Linked DNA regions of Cricetulus griseus. The main gene of each other region encodes a partner of the protein of the gene in region 2 in a complex. Links are inferred from orthologs where the notes say so. Each region holds a gene or a part of one and is shown on either strand. Other genes may lie near its edges.

Region 1 (3,949 bases), on a different chromosome or scaffold from region 2:
AATATAGTAGACATATGTAGAACCAAAATAATCAAGAACTTAACTTGAAGGAAATACTCAGGAAAAATTTTGTGGCTATAGCAAAATGTAATATAATGAATGCTGTTTAAGTTTCTGAAGAAATAGCTTCTTTTAGATTTGGCTGGTTAATCTCTTGGGTACACCTTTAAACCCCCCTGTTCTGAAAAACCATAATTGTATAGAATCTGAATGAAATAAATAGAAACTTGGAATGTAGAAATTGGGAAGAAAAACAAATTAGACTATTTATTATAGCACTTGGCAAATGGTAGTTATCATAAACCCCTATAAAGGTGCTCTCATCTTCATTATATATGCAATTATTTTATCAGGTACGATAAAGACAGAACTACTGAGTGTCAATACAAAGTTTCTGTTTAGCTTTTCTTCTATAAGCATTTTCTAACAGAAATATAAGAAATTTAAACCTGAGGATTTCAAAAATCAGTTATTTGTAAATTATCTGATAAATGCAACAGACTTCTTTCAATGTTTAAACAAACATATTCCTAATTTCACATTCCAAATTGCCTACTGTTGACAAATTTAGAGTGTAAACTCACCACCACTAAACAAAAAACCTTAAGACACCTGTTTCCTTTATGGGTTTTGGAATAAAACTCAATTTATAACACACTTGTTATACTGAATCTCTGTGAAAGTAACTTGGTTTTTTTTTTTTTTTTTTTTTTTTCTAAGCCTGGTTCCTAATCTACAATATAAGTGATAATTCTTCTTGAGATTCCTTGCAGACTAAATAACACAAAATTCCTAGCATATGATAAGCACTGCAATTACTATGGCAGTCTATCACTTTGACTGGTGTTGCTCACTAAAGAGCAAGAAGAATCAAAGGGATTCAGAAGAAGATAAGGAGGCTGAAGAAATGGTTAAAAGTATATACTATTCCTCCAAAGGACCTAGTGTGGCTCACAATGGCCTGTAACTCCAGCTCCAGTGGATCTGACAACTCTTCTGGGCTCCTTGTGTAGTGTACCACCACACATGGCAGACACTAACAAACAGACATACACTCAAACCTAACTAAAAATAAATCTTTAAGAAAACAAAATCACGAATGGGAAAACATGGGATTAAATTACAGCCGTGAAAGAAATATTGCAGAGACAGTAGATGAGGCAATGGTCCCAAAGATCATACCCCAGTGAAGTCACAGCTAACTTAGTTTCTGAAACCACTCTCACAATATTTGAAGAACAATGAAATCACTGAATACACATTTCTCAGATTGGATCTCCCCATTGTTAAGCAACTTACAAGAGCATATGCATAATTTGTAAATCCTTAAAGAGCTCTAAATGAAAACAAACAAAAGGAATTGAGGTTAAAAAAAAAAAAAAGAATGCAAGAAGAAAATTAGTCGGCACAGCTCTGCATTCCAGATCAGAAGACTTCAAGGTTTATTAGGGAAGCTGTATTGACAGCCAAGAGATAAAAGTCTGTCAAAACAGCTGGATCTCCAGCATACATGCGGGCAGAACACTGTGTACTTTAAATTTAAACATTCTTAAAAAAATAAAACAGCTGGATCATAAGAACACTAGAATCGAGGTTATACCGTGGTACCTCAGCATTAGATTAGAAACGTAACTTCAAATTTACAATCAATAAGCCTACAAAGAAGCAGACTGAAAATGCCACTCACCACAATCATTCTCCCATCAGAAGTGATAACGGCGACGGTTCCTGAGAACTGCGTCAAGGAAAGTATTTCTTAGAGATTGCAGAGTGAAAACTTTCAGCCTGGTAAGGAAATGGTCTCAATTACTTAAAAAAGAAAAAAGTGGCGGTATGAAGGTTCGACACAGCCGCTGCTCACGAGGTACAAAACTGAAGGTTTGAAACTTGTTTCAATTCTATCCTGAAAACAGTAAATCTAATGGGAGAAGGGTAGAGTCTGACATCTGACCCTGGGTTTAAAACAGCAATGGGTTCCAATCCCTAACACTGAGAGATACAATCCCTTCCTTTCTCAGACCAATGTCTTCACCTCTGAAATAAAAACTGGACGCGTAACTATCAATGTTGCACCGTTGTGGCGCGTTAAGCCCCCTCCCCTAGTCCAAGACCTGGTCATAATTAATGCCACCAAGTACAAACAACCCTGGATTCCTTAAAAGCTCTCTGCTTTGAACGCCTGAGTTTCTTGTCTGTACCAGATGTGCTCGGTGCACGGTTTCTGTCCTGACTTTGCAGCAGCGCTTGTAATTTAAAATCTCACCTGGGATCTTAAGAGCTCCTTGCCTGTCACTGAAGCCCAACACGATTCCAGGCTTTCCTTCTAAGGGTATCGCATGGACACTTCCAGGGGGGGCCCGAAATTCACCTTGGAGAACCAAGCACCTTTCTATGCATGCGAGCCTCGAGCCAACCGCAAGCCCTGAGAAAACCGGTCCAACTTATTCCCGACGCTGGCCCGCACAAGCCCTAAGGGATCTGCAGCAATCCAGCCAAAGGCTCCTTGCAGGGAAGCTGTGCCGGGTGAAAAGGGCCCGGGTCTGTCCGGATGACCCCACCGCCGGTCCCGAACCCCGAGTCCTCCCCGCCGCCCCGGGTCTCCGCCCCCGCCCCGCCCCGCCGCGGCCTGGGCAGCCGCCCGAGGATACGGTTGATGTAGTTCTCCAAGGCAGACGTCATGCTGCTGGGCCCGGAGGTCCCGGGAACAGGAGACAACCCGGCAACAAGGAGACGAGACACGGCCGGGCCGCCAGAAGCACGTACCGGTTCCCGCCGCCCGCCCGCCCGCCGGTGAGCACAGATACCGCGAGACCAACGAGTACCTAGCAGCCAATCGGCACTCGCAAGGAGCCGACCAAACCGGAAGCCGGGCGGGGACTGACTCGCGCGCGTGCGCAGCGTGCATCCGCCGCGCTTCCGGGTGCCGGTCGGTAGAGGGAGACGGACAAAGGCGGGGACGGGCGGAAGTGTGGGCTGGATGCAGGCGCTGGGAGGCTCGCCAGCGGAGGGGCGGGAGCCGCGGTCGTGTGGGAAGATCGGCTGTGCCGGAGACGCCCTAGATGAGATGTTTGCTCGTCCTTGGGAGGAAGGGAGCTCTAGCCTTCTCCAGCGCGAGCCAAAAAAAAGTTCCGAAAGACAAATGGCGCGGTGCAAAGCGAACGTCTTTGTAGCCCGCACGAGGTGCATTTCCAGGGAGAGCCCAGCTATCAAAAGTGCTCGTGCATTCTGCTTTTGGCTCTTCAGGTGTCACGAAGCAGCCTTAAGGAAACGAACTCCAGAGAGGGAAAGGTGTGCGCGATAGATGGTCACTTTGCACGGCTAAATCGAGGCTTAGCTTTTCTTGGGGATGAAAGTTGTAATTAAGAAAGTCTACATTGCCACTCTGAAGGGACCGATTAGAGGAAAGCGTAAACTAAGCACCAGGCTGGGTTCTAATTCTATCCCTGATAATTGATGTCCCTGTTGTAAAGTCACTTAAACTCCTCTTGATCTGATTTCACTTAGATGCTGTACAAATGTGTTAGTCAGTCAACCGTACATAACCAATATTTTAAAATTTTAGTGTGTGTTGAAAGGGGAAAATTAATAAAATCTAAAACCCAGACTCCAAAGCCCAAAAAGAAAACTCAGTTCCCAAAAAGCAGTCCAGCAGACAAGGTTAAACAAAGGGCCTCAGGACTCAAGCCCTTAGACCAGATATCACACCCTAGAATGGCACTCACATTCCTCTGGTCCAAAGAGGATCAGATAGTTATCAATTGTAGAAGTCCCCAGCCCAGGAGACTATTAACAAACCCATTTCCTCTGCAGTATCCTGCTTAATTAAACCTTGCATGAAGCATAACAATCTTTGTCCTGTCCTGTGTAACTACTGAAGTTATGTAATCTTGGGGCTTCCAGCCCTACAATTTTCCCTTTTAAAAACACCCCTCAGTCGAAAGTGGGTACT
Region 2 (4,221 bases):
CAGTCCATTACCAAATCCTATCTAATTTACTTCCCAGCTATCCCCAAGATACTGTAAAACTGTCTTCAGCTCCACCTTCAGCTAGGTTCTCACTGACATTGCTGATCAGAACTACAGTGCATGCTCCCAAAGTGGTCCATTTGCCTCCAATAAACCTCCCCTCCTCTCTCCAATCTCATAACACCATTAAGCCTGAAGGAGCAAGCCTTCTCCTCCTCCACATCCCACGCCCTGGAGGGGAGACAAAATTTTCATTGGTTTCCTATTAATTGTAAAGTTAAAGCTACAAATTCCTGCAAATCTTCATGACCCCCAGGTTATCTCGTACCATAACCCCCTTCAAGTGCTCTCTCAGCATACTGGCTCTTCGTGCCTCTTAGTCATCTTCCCAAATGATAGGGCACTACTGCACACGCTGTTCTGTGAAGAACGTTCTGCCTTCTTCCTCTCTTCCCCGAATTAGAACTGTCCGATCAAACGGCAACAGCTCAGGCATCTTTTCCTCTGAAAATCCTTCAAGCTCATTAGTTACTCACAGCATGAGGCATCGCTCTCTTCGCTAGTCTTCCAATCAACTGGTGAGATTAGTTTAAAATGTTTCCCACACACACCCCAAGAGACACTAAAGCCCTGAAGTTAGAGAACATGTTTCTTCAGTGTCCTCCAACGCTCTGCACGATAAACGCCACTTGGATCGCTTATGAGAAGGCCTGGTACACAAGCATGGACCTTAGATTTCTCAACAAAATTATGCTTTGGAGGAACCATCGGATACTTCCTCCATCACTGTCTGTCTGGGGGCATAAATTAAGCCCTTAAAAAAAGACGGTTGAACCAATGGTATAAACTAAGTCCGCCTCCTCAGCCAAACCCGGCACTGAAGCCGGGAGGCCGGGAGTCGGGCATCACGCTAGTACAGCGCTGGAAGCAAAAGCGGCGTTGTGCAGAGCAGCTAGCTGTCAAGGGACAGCGGCCTTAGGGTTCCAGTCCTGCGGTCAGAGATCCCAAAGCTCCGCTCTAGCCTGCCAAGGGACTACTCTTTCCAGAACGCTCCCCTACCCCCACGGCAGGACCGTCAGCCGAGAATGCTAGGCTCGGGCCCATCACCTAGTCGCAGATTAGAACAGCTACCGTCCTCGTTCCCCGCACACTTACTCCGCGCCAGCTCCTAGCCTGGCAGCCTCTTCATCGCCAAGAACGCCTAACCTGCTCCGCTCGTTCCCAACCCACAATGCACAGCGCGCCTAGGGGGGACGTCACTACACGCCCCAATCCCAGAGCTGAGCCCTCGTGGCGTCATCAAGAACGGACCAATCGCAAGAGCGCATTCAGAGGGCGTTGCAGAAGAGAATGTTGGGAGCCGATTGGTTGCTCCTCTCCGGAAGTTCTGGAGGAAGAACTCAGTTGGAGCCAATTGCGCGGCGGCTGCGGCCGGCGGCGCGGTCAGTGGCGGCGCCGAAGAGAGTGGCTACCGCCATGATCGAGCAGCCAAAACGCAAGGGCCCGGAGCTGCCACTGGTTCCTGTCAAGCGGCCGCGACATGAGTTGCTGTTGGGAGCCGCGGGGGCCGGCCCCGGAGCCGGACAGCCGCAGGCGACTCCGGGAGCTTTGCTGCAGGCGGTAAGTGGGGAGGCATCCCTTCTTCGGCCCTCCGCTCCTCTCCCAATAGACCTTCCCGGCGCTGCGGGAACGGAAAGACAGAGAAGCTGAAGTGAAAGCAGGCCTCTGTTTACATACGTGCCGTGTGTTCTGCGTCTGTTTCATACATGTGTCCCTGTCGGACGCCTGTTTCCAGCCTTTGAATCGCCCTGTGAAGTAGCAGTGAATCATTTAAAACCTTGGCCTCAAAAATCAGGATCCAAAGTTCCGCATCCTAAATCTTCAGGGATTCAGCATAAAATAAACATTCAGAAAAGTTTGTAGAGTGGACGAATGAATGAATGAATGAATGAATGAATGGGAAGGGAAGCAAGGGAAATGAATGATACAGGCTCTCTCTGCCATCTGGTACAATTTACTTTTCTCTTTTTCTGATTTTGCATTATTAACAGTAATTAATATCCGTTGGCTCGAGTGTTAGCTGTTTTGCATGAGAAATTTCCATTAATCTTGGTAACAGCCCGAAAGGAGCTGTTATTTTGCATATAGGGAAAGCAAACTTCTTTGAGTTAGAAGCTAAGCTCCTAATGGCATTTCTTGTAAAATAGTGATCATGCCCTCACTACTATGATATTAGTTTCAGATACGGAAATAAATGTGCCTCCTGTCCCAACTCTCAATTCTGCTGGTGTGGTCATTAAAATAAGTAAATAAAATTGGCAAGGGGTGTAGGGCTGTAGTTGCATCTTTTCAGAAGGCTGACAAGAAAATTTTGAGGGAAGGAGTTGGAGGCCAAGCCTGCAACTCTGGGTTGACAATCCTACTTGTCAAGTAAGAATAAGTGTACCACCAGTAATCCTGAAATGTCTTTGGTAGATTCCGGTGTACTAACTTACTTTTTAACACAGCAAGGTCGCTGACTCAAAAATAAGTAAATAAAAAGCTGGACACACACAAATTTACACTCAAGCTGCTGAACAGGAGGGTCAAGGGTTCCAAGCCAGTGTAGGCTATTATAGCAAAACTCTTTTGTTGAACGGAAGAGAACTGTTTACCTGAAATCCTTACCTCCTAGTCAAACTTTTATGTCATCTGGCATCATTGCAGGTGGGGCTTAATTAGTATTTCTGGTTTTGCCTTTGAATCAAGGATCAATTATTAGTCTGGTAGCCAGGAGAATCACCACAACATTAAATCACATGATTCTCTGCTGAAAATATTGTGTTGGCTATTTCATTCCAAATTAAAGAAAAATCAAATTCTGTGTAATAACCCCTTTTCTATGCTCATGTACCCGTTTTCTAGCATGTCATCCTTCTCAAATAACACCAGCCTGTGTGCTGTTAATTCTGTTGCTGTTGTTGCATATGCTGGAATATTACTCCAAATGCCCACATGTTTAACTACTGGTTCTTTCAAATCTTGGTTCAGATGCCTGTTTTCAGTGGGCTCTCCTGGCCACTGTATTTTAAGTTAAAGTACCCTGTACTCTGGTACTCATATTTTTTTCCATTGCATGCAACACTAGGTGTTCTGCTTGTTTTTTGTTTTGTTTCCTTTCCCATTCTCTCACTCACTTTCCACCAGAATGCACAGTTCATTGTTTTATTGAGTGCTGTTTCCCCAGTGCCTAGATATATTAGGTTTATTTTTATCCGTATGTCTGTATGTATGTGTGAGTACCCTCATAGGCCAGAAGAGATTGTTGAATCCTCTGAACCTAGGGCTACAGGCACTTGAAAGCTGCCTAGTGTGGTACTGGGAACTGAATTCGGGACCTCTGGAAGAGCAGTAAGTGCTCTCTAACTACTGGGCCATCTCTGTGGTACACATGTGTTATTTTCAATAATTACACTAGATAAATATGCTCATGGTACATTATTTACATTACTTTTCATAGTTAATACATGATAATAAATATAAGTTAGTACACTGGAACCTACCAAAGAGATTTCAGGACTATTTTTGGTAGTACACTTATTTGCCAAGTAACACTGTCAGCCCAGGGTTGGAAGACTTGCCAAACAGGCTTAGCGTCCAAGACCCTAATCAGAAACTGCTTTGCCAAACCAAGCATAGCAATTCACACTTGTATTATTACCAGCACTCAGGAGGACTGAAAATTTAAGACCAGCCTGAGCTACTTATCAAAGCGCTGCTCATACCCCTAAAATCTATTTTGCATAGTAAGTTGTACTATGCAGGGTTTTTCAAAGGCTAGGTGGGTGAACTAGTCTGAGAAATGTTGTTCCTGCACTCCCAGAGCTTCATTTATTTGGGGAAAAAGAAGCATGTCAGCAATGACATGAGGAAGGAAACTTGAGGCAGCACTAAACCTAATGGAATACTGGTGGGGAGATGGCTGCTACTTAAGTTTGACTGTTAAAGAAAGACTCTGGGGAGGAAATATTTAAAAGGAGCCCAATAGCAGGAGAGCTCTGTGGGAGACATTTTTCCTTGTTAAGATCCTGAGGTATAAGTGAAGTCAGCATGATTAAGCAGTCAGAAGTTGGCTGTGGAACAAAAGCAGAGTTGGGGAGGAGAGTGGTATGGTGAGCATATGCTGGAATGTCCAAAGGTTTATCCAGTGAAAGGCAGGAGTTCTGTGAGCAGAGGTGCCAT

The links.
Region 1: Snrnp40 (region 2) and Lsm8 share a complex: the UniProt entries of both Homo sapiens proteins name them as parts of the U4/U6-U5 tri-snRNP complex. The link is inferred for Cricetulus griseus from reciprocal best matches to the Homo sapiens genes SNRNP40 and LSM8.

The regions. Positions count from the first base shown.
Region 1 is NW_023276806.1:207,804,434-207,808,382, forward strand, and holds the start of Lsm8 (LSM8 homolog, U6 small nuclear RNA associated), read right to left. Parts: upstream 2,801-3,949; 5' UTR 2,680-2,800; coding exon 2,649-2,679; intron 1,729-2,648; coding exon 1,688-1,728; intron 1-1,687. UniProt on the Homo sapiens protein: Plays a role in pre-mRNA splicing as component of the U4/U6-U5 tri-snRNP complex that is involved in spliceosome assembly, and as component of the precatalytic spliceosome (spliceosome B complex).
Region 2 is NC_048595.1:22,689,899-22,694,119, reverse strand, and holds the start of Snrnp40 (U5 small nuclear ribonucleoprotein 40 kDa protein), read left to right. Parts: upstream 1-1,421; 5' UTR 1,422-1,476; coding exon 1,477-1,620; intron 1,621-4,221. UniProt on the Homo sapiens protein: Required for pre-mRNA splicing as component of the activated spliceosome. Component of the U5 small nuclear ribonucleoprotein (snRNP) complex and the U4/U6-U5 tri-snRNP complex, building blocks of the spliceosome.